3 linked regions of the Drosophila melanogaster genome follow. The protein of the gene in region 1 interacts with the protein of each later gene in a pairwise test. Each region holds a gene or a part of one and is shown in the gene's direction. Other genes may lie near its edges.

Region 1 (4,942 bases):
TCATTCGTTTGTTAATTTAATTCAATTTTTATGCGTGTAGGCACGTTCAAAGGTTAGTTGGTAGACTTGGTTACACTTAAGCGATAGTTGCATGTGTCATTCTCATTCAGTGGTAATGATCCAGTAGTAAATAATGTACAGTACGATCTTAGGTCTAAAATCTAGTAGCTTCGGGCCAGTTCTGCATGCATCACCGCCAGCAGCTGCCTTTCCATGTCGCTCAGCGATCCAAATTCGGCTCCAAAGTCGCGCAGCAGGTGCTTTAGATCGCACATTTTACGCTCCACCCAGGCGCACGTAATCTCCGCCAGCGCATACTGCTGCTGTTCGGGCACAAATGCTCCCGGACGCTCCGCGGATCCACCGTCGTCCGCCGAACAGGGGAGCGACTCGAACTGCGCCAGGTTGTAGTAGTACTCGATCAGCTTGATGTGGGCGGGTGACTGGCGTGCGGGAGGCAGGTTCAAATGGACTAGGAGCAGCAGACGCAGCACCTCAACGCGCCGCAATAGTTCACCGTACATGCGAGCACCGCGTCGCTCGTAAACATTGTCCACAATGTCGTCGTAATGCTGCAGTGCACTGCGAAAATCGCCGCGCTGGCCACTCGTTTCGGCGCTGATTTCCAGGTCATGGATCTGATGGGTGGGCGAGGCAAAGCTGCTGGTGCTGTCCAGCTGCCGCTGCAGCTGCTTCAACTCGCGCAGAATGGCCGCCTTGAAGACGCAACCGTCCACCGCTCGATCCGCCGCACGGTGATAGCAGTGCACCGCTCCCTCCCGAAATCCCGAGTGGCGGGTGCGCAGATGCAGTCGCCCGGACTCGTTGTGCGCCGCTAGGAAGGATCTAGCTGCCCGCAGATAGGCCTCCGATTCGCGCTGCGGTGCGCCGCCGTAGGACTCGCACTTGGCATAGCCAATGTGGCACATGGCCGCATACTGCTGTATGCCCGACTCCTCGAAGCTGTAGGCCAGTCGCTGGAAGTCCGCCTGCACATCGACCACGCTGGGCGCAAAGCGTCTGGGAATTAGAGAAACAGTGGAGTATTGAGATTGTATTCCGTGATTCGAGGGCTTCTAATACACCCGTATTTCTAAACATAGTTTGAAGATGGAGGAAAAGCGATAAATTGGGCAATGACTTGCTAATCAAACGCAATGATCTGCAAGGTATCTGATTGCCCATACTTGGGCCGTAGCTACTCACTTGAAGAAGCCGGCCCGCTCGAACTTCTTGATCTTGCTGGAGGCCCTTAGATATTGCTCGATCAGGTTTTTGGGGTACTGATACTGCTCCAGTTGGTGGTGCTCATGGCCCGGAGCCGTCGATGGCGCGCCGCTGGAGGATCCGCCGCCGCCCAGACTGCCGCCGCGGAGTTTATCCATGCTACAGCATGTGGTTCTCCGCGCAGGTTACTTCGGGTCGCGCTACTTGTGCATTATATTTTCGCCTGTATTGTGTTTTTATTATTATTTGTGAAAACTTTATCGCGGGCGGTGTGACCATGCCATGTCCCGCTGAGGAATATACTAGCTTAGAAGCGGTATGCAAAGATCCATTTACACTGCTCAACGGCAGCGAAAATGTATCAAAACGGCACGCAAATCGCTGTCAAAACTCATTTAACAAGCAACTACACTAGTTGCCCGGTTTTGGTAGCTCATGTTAATAATCTAGTGACCTTTAATTTGTATTTGATACATTTAAAATGATATACTAATTACTAAATTTCTATTGGAAGAGAAAAATAGAAACTAGAAACAGATGTGTGTCAGTGGAAACCATCTGAAATCTTGTTGGCCAGTATAGTTCGGTATTTTCTCTCAAGTCTTTGTTTGTTTTTTCCAAAGGTCACGCTGCGGTCACACCAGATACAGCAAATTCTGTTTCCACTGTTTTTTCTGCAGCACTTTTGGCATTTAATTGGATAAAAACAAGCCGCAAAGCTAGAAGATCGCAAAATAAACGAAAAACCAAAGTGGCGAAACAAAATGACAATTGCCGAGCACGATAACGTCTTCATCTTTGTGCCAAATCTGATCGGTGAGTGGCTGTTTGTAGGTTTTATTCCGTGCTCCAGCTAGGTAAACAAATCGCATGTTCGATTTATGCGGCGCAATAATAGCGATTCTAGTGTTCCCTAATTGGATTAATAGGGGCTGTTTGGCAGCTAGTGCAATGCGAAGCGCAAGTTCAGCGATAAGAGCCGCTTCGTCCAACCCAATTGAGTCACCTCCAATGATTCTATACGTATGATGCACGCATATGTGCTGATTTATATTGATCTTTTCCAGGCTACGCCCGCATCGTTCTGGCCCTGATCGCCTTCTGGTTCATGTCCACCAACTATGTGATCTCCGGCTGGTGTTATGTAACCTCCGCCCTCCTGGACGCCGTCGATGGACAAGCAGCCCGAGCCTTTAACCAAAGTAAGCATTAACCATGCGATCGCCCTTGATATCGAAATGCCAGCTCATGCCAGCTATATGTCTGTATTTGATTTGTGCGCGCACTTTGGCCGCTAGCGCATTGCAAACACCTGTCTCCTCCGTACTGGTTATCTGCCGATATTGTGGAATTGTAGGCACGCCCTAAAGAGCCCGATATGGTCACGGCTATCCAGCCAATCGATGGATGACGTGGGGCTGAAGAATAGATAGAAAGCATGGCTAATATTGCCTTGGAACTATGCAATGTAGTTAGCAATATAGGAGGAAAAACATTAGGATAGAAGCCTTCTAAGAAACAAATTGCAGATACCATGCAATGTTTATGATATAGTAGTGTAGCAAACTGAAAGGTATGATCTTGCACTTGGATTTGTTGTATGCTAGCAGGATGATTTAGAGTCTTAACGAAAGGGTACTCCAACCAAAATATGTATATCAAAATATTAGTAATTATCATATGGTACTATGGAATCTTTACTAAATACTCGATTACCTCACAGGCACTCGCTTTGGCGCCATGCTAGACCAGTTGACCGATCGCTGCGGCACCACCGGCCTACTGGTCACCCTGGCCTACTTCTATCCCCGGTACATGTTCTGGTTCCAGCTGTCCATCGCCATCGACGTGGCCTGTCACTGGCTCTTCATGCAGACGTAAGTGGGGCAGGGGAAAGAGCAAGATGCTGGACGTCTGGACTGTCAAGGAATGGAAGGAAACTAATGACTCGTGGCTTTGTCTTTTTGCAGGAGCGTTGTGGTCGGACGCAGCTCGCACAAGGTGAATGACAACTTCATAATGCGATTGTATTACCAGAAGGACATACTCACATTCATGTGCTGCGTCAATGAGCTGTTTTACGTGTGCTTGTACCTCTTGCATTTCACCTACGGCCCGCTGAGTGAGTATACGCACACGCACATGCTTTGCATTTCAGCTGGCGAAACGTATCTAATCCGTTGATGGACTTCAATTGCAGTATTCGGCGCATCGCTCTTCAAGATACTCGCCTTCCTCACGGGTCCCTTTGCCGTGCTCAAGGCCCTGATCTCGGTGATGCACGCCTACGTGGCGGGCATCGATCTGGCGGCCGTGGATGTACGCGAGCGGCAGGAGCGGCGCCAGAAGTCGGAGCCGGTGAGCGGCAAGAAAGTGGAGTGAAAATGGGATGCGATCCGGGATCAATCTTCCAGCGACAGTTCTATCAACAGAAAGTACTAAATGAAACAACTCTTGATTCCAAGCTAAAAAAACAGAATTTTGAAGACGAATTGCGATCAGATGAAATATGGGCATTAGGCAACCAAATAGGCCGTAGTAGGAATTTAATTTATTTTTAATGCGCTATTGCAATGATTGTTGATTTTATTTGATATATTTTAGTTAGACGGGTGGTGAAATCACCCGACAATTTGTATTTAATAGATTTTTGAATTGAAATTTAAGCGATTCGTTCCAGTCAGTAGCTGTTGCATATTTATTTTGCCTTTAGTTAGCGTAGTTTACACGCTATATATGTATATATATGCCAATGCGTAAATGCAGGCCGATATACTATGAATGAGTGTCTATTTCCAGGATTTATCTCACTGTGCACGTTTTGGGTTTGACTAACCACCTTGTCCCAGCAACTCTCTCAATGTAACTAATGTATTTCTAATCGTAAGTTAAAGAATGTAATTGGAGACCTGCATGAAATATATACGACAAATGGATGTTAGATGTATTTGAAACATTAACATATATGTACCATACATGCCAGGCCTGGCAGACTTAGTCAAAATTGAAAAGTGAAAATAAATATATGTGGTTCTATGCGCTAAATTTTAGTTTAACCTTTTGGGCCATCGATTTTTGAAATTTGCGCCACACAAAATTTATCGTTAGACATCAAAATTATCGTTGGCACATCCCTGGCTGGCCGCTCAGCTGCGCCGCCTGTGCAGCCCTGATTTTTACACAACATAAACATTCGATTTTGGAGGAGCTCTTTTTTCGAGAGAATACCAGGTCGTTGGACACGGGAGATGCTCTGATTAGGGGCGCATGTGGAGCAGCCAACGCCGGAATCGCCGACATGAAAATCCTCTCCCGTCTGGGTCGCCTGATGCGCTACACGGTGGCCTACGCGGCAATCACACACTGCACCTTCGAGTACATTGGCGATTTCGTCCTGGTAAGGCGTCTAGGATGAAGTTCCTGGGCGGGTATACTTGCCCAACATGTGCCAGCATCACATAGTTCGTGTGAATGCATTAAGGTACTCTCCACTTGTTTTTCCACCTTGTGTAACTTCCACTTGATATCCTTCTTTTGCGGAAAAGTACGTACACTCACATTAATGCAACCATTTCCAGTGCAAAGGACCCTCCATGGAGCCCACCCTGCACTCGGACAACGTTCTTCTCACCGAGCGCTTGTCGAAACACTGGCGAACCTACCAGCCCGGCGACATAGTCATCGCCATATCGCCCATCAAAGCCGATCAGTTCAT
Region 2 (5,434 bases), on another chromosome or scaffold:
ATGGCCAGATTTAGAATCTGGTACATATGCTCGGCATACAGATTCGTGGGCACCGTAAGGATGGTTTTTCTCTCGAACTTGAACTTGGAAACGCGCTCGAAGACGAAGGCCCGATTGAAGATGATGTAGGCGAATCCCTTGGGGAAGGCGGTCATGCAGAGGACTCTCCTGTCAGGAAGGCTAACCGCCTGCGTGGGCAGGAAACGCTGTTCCTGCAACTCCTTGTCCCGATCGAACACCTCCTGATCGATCATCAAGTCCACAGTGTCCGCATCGCTCGCCTTTTGAGCCAACTTCTGCTCGCCGTTCTCCACCAGGATCAACTGATCATCCGACGTACCAATCATCAGCAGGTCCAGCGATAGAAAAGCCATCGAGGTGACCCTATATTTCACCTTCAGATTATTGCTGATACTAAATCCTCGCTCCGATTTACTCATCAGCAACAACGTGCGCTCGCCTCCGACCGCCATAAAATTGCAATCGTTTGGATTGCCAGCGATGCACTCGGCGCCTCCATGAGATCCCGGGATTGTGGCCCTGCCCTCGATCACTGTACTGGTCTTGTCCAGCACCAACATAATAAGGGTTTCCTCCGGCGGGCGGGTGATCAGGGCCACCGATCTGGAGTCATTGGTAAAGATCATCTGCTGTATCTCCGCATTGCGATGGTTGCTCGGCAGCTCCAAGTGACGTCGCTTCTTCAGGGTGGCCAACTCATAAATGGATATATACCGACCACTAATAGAAAGTTAAAAAGAGTCCATTCATTTGAACTATGTTAGGTTGAGTTATATAAAATATAAAGCATCTGAAATGAAGCTCTTACTTTTTCGAGTGCCTTTCCACCACCGCCAGTAGTTTGCGATGCGAACTTATGGATATCACCTCGGGTCGCGTATCCTCCGGCAGCCTGCAGGATTACAAGGGTTAAGATATTCCTTAACAGTTATAAAACGTGGAGTACCCACCTGAGAAACCTTTGCTTGTTTTGGACGTAGTCGTGGAACGCTAGAACTCCCTCCACCGGATAGATGACCTCCTTGGTCAGGTTGAAGTGGATGTTGCCAATGACATCCGAACGCAGTCCGTAGATGAGACGTGGCCTTATTGTCACCGTGCTGTTGGAAAGAGAGGCTCGCTTCACATCCTCCTTGTTGGCTTCGTCCATCCTCGTTGAGTGTTGTACAAAATATATGCACTGAGACCCGGGATTACAATTTTAGCTGGCAGACAGACAAATTGGAGGAACTGAAATTCGATCAAACAACCTGGGGCAAATCGTTAGGGAGTCCTGCCAGCGACAGCAAACTCCATGGCATCCATGGGAAGTGAGAGTGAGAGCCTAACAACACCAGGCTCTGGGTCTATTCCAATCTGAACGGAGCCGCGAGCGTCCATGAATAAGTAATTAAGCGCCGCTAAGTATGCTTTTAATTTAAACCCTCGAGTGACAAGGGAGGGGTCTGTGATGAAAGCTAAGCGCTTGATAAAAACAACATTGAAATTTCCGCCGAAACCGGCGCTCGTTTCCTGGCCAACAATAGAGCAACAGCCACACCGTCGCACTTGAACTCTGTCAATGCGCTTTTCGCTGAATATGGGTCTGCCAGTCACTGTGTCACTCTGTCAGTCAGTCAATCAGCCAGTCAGACAGCCAGCCAGTCAGTTGGGTCTCCAAGCATTGTGTCATCCCCCAAAATCCCCACAAGTAGTTGGCGGCTATCGTCTCCTTGGCACTGCGAACACGACCTAACGCAAGAAATTGTTAGTTAAAGAAAAGCTGCTCGGCCCCTCTTCAGCTGGGAAATTCTTGGGAAAGGGGGAAAGCTTTTGTGTCCACAATCCTACAAGTTGGATATGCCGAAAATGGTTTGAGCTCTCCCAGTTGGGGAAATAAATTGGGTGGGGAATTGGCTTGATTAATGGTTTTCCTTTCAGACAACACAATTTTCATGTGTATAAAGTATTTAATAGCAGTATTGTCCAATAGAATAATTTCAAACTCAACTACGTTGGGGTGAACTTTGGCGGTACTTTTGTGATTAATAGTTATTAGAATTAGAAAAGACATATCAGAAAGAAAATTTTTTTAAAAATATAACAACAATTTCAAATTTGTCTGTAGTTCATTAAAGATTTCCATCAAGTACACCCCCTTCGAATTAGCCATAAAATAGTCAAATAAGCATCTCCAATCCGTGCACCGCTGTCGTGGAAAGCTTTCGCTCTTTCGGCTTTCTCGGTTCAGTTTCGTTTTCATTTTCCGCTGTCCATTTCAGTAGTAGTTTTCGCGTCGGCCGCAGCACAACGAGCAAACGGAAACCGGAAACGGAAGTGAAAGCAAGCGAAAGGCAGTGGCTCCAAAGCACAGTTAATCGGGCAGAGAGCCGAGTGCAGACAACAGTCAACTGAGAACTGAGCGCAGTGAAGTGTTTGTTTTCGCCGTTATCAGTGGATGCACGCCTTTCCACCTCCGATTGCGAGTAGGGATCGGGCCAGGGACTGGGATTCCGAATCCTCATCCGCACTCGCATCAGCATCCACATCGGATTCAAAACCAAAATCAGTATTGTATCCAGGCTCGCGACCCGCACGGAGGAGGCGGCGAGCCGGAGAGGCGTGTCACTAGCAGGTGGCCGAGCCGGTTAACCAGAGTCCGACGGCAAAAAGTAAATAAAAAAAAAAAAGAACTTGTAAATTGTGTGACAGTACATAGCCTTTGAGGGCTGAATTGTGTGTGTTTTGCAGATTTCAAACGTGCCGCGAGCTGTTAAAACTTTTGTTTGTCCACTGGACGAGAGAATTTCCACACAGTTATCATTTATCTGAAGCAATATTTTTCTTTTTCATATATAACAGATAGTTGGAAGCTAGTTTATACTCAAAGTTACATTGTAATTAATATTATTATTGATCTAGAAAAACTATTAAATGGCCTTATAGCACTTTTATTGTTCTCTATCGATTTACGACTTGGCCGAATACTTGTCTGGTTATTCTCGAATGATTTGAAAACTATTTTGAAACAATCAATGCTTGGGCTTAAAAATAACTTCGTGCCACAGTTCTTACAAATGTGAAAGCCATCGGATCTCCGAATTTCTTTTCTGTGTGTACATAAGTAGGTGTGCTTGTGATTCTGTGACAGTCGCTCAATTAACAGTGAAAACTTCTGAGTCCTGAGTCCTTTGCGGCTGTTTTCAAGGAGGCAACTGAATTTTAAGCCAATTAAATTGCGCAAATCAGAATCGGAACTGGGAAAAAAGGGAACGGAAAATGTGCGATGAAAACGCAAATGAAATGGAATGGAAAATGGCCTAATGGACTCTGTCAGCCAGCAACTCAACCTGAAAAGCAGCACAGCTGTGGCAATTAAAAAGTAATTTTAATGCTCCTGTTTCGTTTGTTTTGCGAAAACAGGCAGCGAATTCACAATTAACCTGTGTGTTTTTGAATTTTTGTGTGGGTTAATACCTCGCCCTTGCACTGCTGTAAATCTTTTTCATCTCTCAATTTCCCCTGTTTTATTTGGCCATTCGAACCGTAGCGAGTCGCACGTAGTAGGTTATTATAAACAAATCGTTCTCCACAAAGAATCGTATATGTATGTATATATGCATATTTATACCGATATCCGCACATTCACCGCAACTAGAACAGGTCAAATGAAAATCGGATCGGCGGCAAAATGCCCGGAAAACGTAAATGTTCGTTTAAATTTAAATCCGTCGCAACCACAGTCGCCGCATTGCGTGCATTGCTCCACCATGTGGCAGTACATCTAGATATATGCACCGATTCTATATATGTTTACATATATATATATATTAACACGACTCGCTCCCCGTATTTGTGGACTCGCACGAAGTCGAGCAAAATGCCGCAAAGTTTGACCGATTATAAATGGAAATTTCTTCATCGCTGAAAGTTGTTTGTGCTCATTAGCAATCTGTAAATAAACAAAATTTCATCGTAATGGAATGAGTTTACGCATAAATAAAAACAGCACGAAGAAATCCATCAAAAAGTCTAAAGAACAACGTGAAGTTTTCTCATAATGGAGATCATAATAAGCTGAAGTGTACACACATCGAAAGCTATTATTTTGATTATCCCATAAAAACTTGAGTCCAATCAAAAATTCTTTCTTTACACGGTCATAAGAATAAAATTTGGAATGAAATGTTTACAGGTAACTTAGCCATTCGAACTGAGGTAATCTAATTGGCTTGTTAAATGCGAGAAGCATAAACTATTTATCTTGTCAATGTATTTTTTTACTATTTTACTGTGCTAAAAAGTTTATATTTTTCGGAGACTGTATTTTAACTTTCAAACTTTTCACACTCAACTGCGCATTGCGGAAAAGAAAAATCCTGCAGAGAATCTGAAATGATACCATGTTGAACTTTCATTGTTGCAATTATTTTTTTATCAGCTCCCATCCTCGCGAGCTTTAAGCTGAAAGTAGTACTCAATTAAAGCCAACTTTAGCCTCCCATTACGCGCTTAATTTTTTATCATCATCCTTGGCAGCCTGTTTCCCGCATTTCCCCCAACTCTTCACTGCACTCCTTTCATCAGCGACCTTCCCCACATCTTCTGTTCCCAGCATACCTGTGGAAAATCTCGCCGAAATTGGAGTCAAGTGTTTTCCCTTATTTTCTCTAGCCTTTCGTTTTTTGTTTTACCGCCAGGACATAATAGCATGCGCCCGCCCTTTCTTTCGCCATCTCTTTCGCTCCGAAACGTTTCACTTACACACACCAGTGCTCGCACTTGTACAAATATACACTCTGCACTGGGAAAAATTTCTTATTGTTCACCACAAACTCTATTTAACTTCAAGCAACACTAAATTATAGATCATGACGTGCTGGGTTTAAATTTCAGGTCATTTCCTAATTTAAAATTTTTTTGAAAATTTTACTCCTAATACGCATAAAACATATAATTTAATAATGAGCTTATTTTAAGTTGCAGTTGCTGAGACACACACTGATAGGCTTTATATGGCTCTTGGACTGGCATTATTGCTCATCCGCCATGTTGGCTTGCCAGTTTAGTCATTAGTTCCAGGTCAAATGTTGACTTTTGAGCAGTGTGCACCGGTGTAAAAGCTGAAGCGCAGCACACACAAGCCTTTGCCCCGGTATTTCCCATTTTCTCCTAGCCCTTTCCTTTCCTCTCCATTCCATTCCTTTCCTTTTGGCTTGGCTCTCGGCTTTCGGGCTTCAATTGTAGCGACCAAGTTGACCTTTTTGTTAATAGCGCTCACACACCGCGCCACACGCGACTACCAATATGCCGGGCTGGGAATATATGGCGCGGGGTGGTGGGGGGTGTCATTGGAGCATTGGAGCATTTTCTGCGCAGGAATTGGATGTTGGCACAGCTGATTGATTTATTGTCTGCCCGGCTGACAATCCTG
Region 3 (3,018 bases), on another chromosome or scaffold:
GCAAGTGCAGGAAAAAATTGAGGTGACAACACATAGGAAATGTCTAAATATACGAACAAACGCTGGCGATAGCATAAATCACCGGCGAGGGGAAACAGGGAAACTGTAACTGCAAACAAGTTAATGAATGTATCTGTGGGATACATCTGCATGGAGAGAAAGACTCGACAAATAGAGTTGGCCGAAAAGCAAAAGGCGGCTATAAAAAGCGTTAACAAGACAACAACAGCAATTGGCGAACAATAAAATACACTTAGCAGCCGAAGAAGAAGCGAATAACCACTAAATTGCTGTTAACAATTCTTGGAGTGCCCAGCCAAGCCAGTCAGCAAAGGCAAATACATTTTTCTGTCTGCCAAAAGTGGGTCAGCAAGAAAAGCCTCCCCCTTTCCATTTTATAGAAGTCTTCAATGCCAGCCGCAAGCGTTTTCATCAGCCAACTCTGCAAACGCAAACTCTTTCTCTCGCGTGTTAGTTAGATTTTAACTACCGTTTAAGAAGTATCGTACGGCTACTCTCAACTCTTCGCAACTGAACTCCACTCCGCTCCGCTCCTCTTGGCGTCCATTAATCACCTTCAGTCGGTGCAAAGAGTCAATTCACCAGCGAACAGCCTGCCAAATGTGTTCCACGCAACTGCTCAATCTCCGTATCTTTTGGGTGCCTGGAACGAGGCGCACATTTGGCTTTTATCACTCGATCCGCACCAAATAAACTACAAAGCCCCTAACGCGAAAACAGAGAAAAACGTATTTGTGTTCCAGATTTTGGCGCATTTACGGCTTGCGTAAAAATTTCCGATCGGACCAGACCGAAGAAAATTCTGTTGCAGCTCTTAATGGGTTGTTGGATACAAAAACTCGGCGGGACATGAGAAAATAATCCGCACACACTGCAAATACTGCGAATAAATCACAGAAGTTGTAAACTCATTTGAAGTGCATTTGATTTGAGACAAGTAAGTCAAATATGATTCCTTTTACAAGCATAAACATTTTATTTATTCCCGTGCGATATCGATTGAGCTCTTTCCAAAATTTAACCGTGGTAGATGTGGTGTCCATAGGTGGGAACAGCGTAGGACTTCAGCACAGGGACATGCTGAACCACTGGGACATTCTTCACCACCGGAACGTGCTGCACCACTGGAACAGATTTCACCACGGGCACCACTTGGGCTACAGGAACCACACCGTAGGAGGGCTCAATGTAACCAGGAGCAGCAAAAGCCATTGCTACCAGGGCGAAGATCACAGCGATCTAAGGAGATATTTTGTAATATGAAAAATCACAAGGATTTACTTTATAATTTCGTGAACTTACAATGCGGAACATTTTGGTATTTTCTTAGTAATTTACAAACTTGACTTGGAGATATTGTCACTTGGATGCTTGTAGGACGACTGGTGATGCTGACCAATGGATCAGTTACTTTATATAGCCAAAAATCACTTCAATAACAACTTCTAAATGGGCAAACGTGTTTGGCCATAATTCTTCTGTTTAATTGAGAGAATGGATTTATCAGTTGACCCAAAGGTGCCTCATATAGGTCTTTTTTTGTGGACATGACCTTGGTTCTTGGTGATCATCACAAACGCGTGAAGACGATCGATATAATGACAATGGTCTTGGAAGTAAACAATAATAAGCACACGGATCTAAAAACAGCAAACAATTGAGAAGTCATTGAATGGGGATTATGTCCAAAGGTTAAGCAATAACGACCGATAACGGGAAGTTCGCCGCTGGAGATGGTTTCATACCAAATAGAATGCGCATTATTCGAAGATACCAAATTTAAGATAATTAAACTGGTTTGGCGCGTGGCGTTCGAACAGAAGTCATTTGTGGGCTATTTTCGGCTGAGGTGCTAACTACTATATATAATGATTCCACGGATGGTCAATCAACAACAGTCGTCCGGCTAACACAAACGTTCGATAACCACAAGTTAAAGTTTTTAACTCACAACAAAATACCAAAATGTTCCGCATTGTAAGTTCACGAAATTATAAAGTAAATCCTTAGGATTTTTCATATTACAAAATATCTCCTTAGATCGCTGTAATCTTCGCCCTGGTAGCAATGGCTTTTGCTGCTCCTGGTTACATTGAGCCCTCCTACGGAGTGGTTCCTGTGGCCCAGGTGGTGCCCGTGGTGAAATCTGTTCCGGTGGTGAAGCATGTTCCAGTGGTGCAGCATGTTCCGGTGGTGAAAAATGTCCCAGTGGTTCAGCATGTCCCTGTGCTGAAGTCCTACGCTGTTCCCACCTATGGACACCACATCTACCATGGTTAAATTATTGTAGCACAACCCCATTAGAAATTGACCCGACATAAATAAATTGCCAACCAAATCGAACTTATCTTTATTTTCTGGTATAGAGCGAGGATAAACTTTTGGGTCATGCCATCGGGACTGGCTTAATTTTTATACTTACAATTAAATGATGCATGTTTTTTCCTACATCAAGGAAATAATTCTCGTAAAAATTACGTACCCAACACCCTTTCGTGGTCAGCACTTTCCATTTTACACATTTTATAGCAACTAAAGTTGTCCGCAGACCCCAGTGGTTTCCATGGCTGACTGATTATTTTATGGGACATTTTGTAAAATTTAATTTCACCTCGCTCATTTTGTTATTTGCGAATAGTCACACATAAAGTCGTTAACAAGGCGGCAAGCTTCCAGGGGAAATTTCTTCATTAATCAGCGGAATAAAGTGACGCCTCTAAACTGCAGCTGCATCTTCTCCACCTCCCCCCCTCCCACCACCCCTTACCCGACAGACGTTGCCATTAAAACCCAATCCCAGCTCGTCTTTAATTTGAGCCAATTAAAGTGGCGACAAAGCAAAGCCTTACAGCCCGCTTCAAACACTCTGAGCCAGCCGCCTTTCCCTTTGGCTTTTTCCCCGGTTGCGGTTCGATCTCGTGTCGATGATGAACCTGAATGGATCGTACATTAATTTTTCATTGTTTTTTATTTGGGGCTTTATTCGGGTTATTAAAT

The links. Proteins that work in one complex are often made in the same cells at the same time.
Region 2: the proteins of Pis (region 1) and CG33143 interact in a two-hybrid assay, tested with the Drosophila melanogaster proteins (one large-scale study listed by BioGRID).
Region 3: the proteins of Pis (region 1) and CG34268 interact in a two-hybrid assay, tested with the Drosophila melanogaster proteins (one large-scale study listed by BioGRID).

The regions. Positions count from the first base shown.
Region 1 is NC_004354.4:15,700,671-15,705,612, reverse strand, and holds Pis (phosphatidylinositol synthase), read left to right. Parts: upstream 1-1,842; 5' UTR 1,843-1,991; coding exon 1,992-2,043; intron 2,044-2,294; coding exon 2,295-2,429; intron 2,430-2,525; coding exon of another isoform or gene 2,526-2,584; exon of another isoform or gene 2,585-2,800; intron 2,801-2,950; coding exon 2,951-3,104; intron 3,105-3,197; coding exon 3,198-3,349; intron 3,350-3,427; coding exon 3,428-3,609; 3' UTR 3,610-4,162; downstream 4,163-4,942. Other genes in the region: Hap40 (Huntingtin-associated protein 40 kDa), read right to left, coding at 162-1,020, 1,207-1,385; CG9240 (uncharacterized protein), read left to right, coding at 4,526-4,624, 4,806-4,942. UniProt on the Drosophila melanogaster protein: Catalyzes the biosynthesis of phosphatidylinositol (PtdIns) as well as PtdIns:inositol exchange reaction. May thus act to reduce an excessive cellular PtdIns content.
Region 2 is NT_033778.4:22,612,050-22,617,483, forward strand, and holds the start of CG33143 (uncharacterized protein), read left to right. Parts: upstream 1-2,278; 5' UTR 2,279-2,672; intron 2,673-5,434. Other genes in the region: tous (testes of unusual size), read right to left, coding at 1-741, 830-913, 972-1,171.
Region 3 is NT_037436.4:499,039-502,056, forward strand, and holds CG34268 (uncharacterized protein), read left to right. Parts: upstream 1-1,926; 5' UTR 1,927-1,986; coding exon 1,987-1,998; intron 1,999-2,061; coding exon 2,062-2,301; 3' UTR 2,302-2,362; downstream 2,363-3,018. Other genes in the region: CG34267 (uncharacterized protein), read right to left, coding at 1,039-1,260, 1,324-1,335.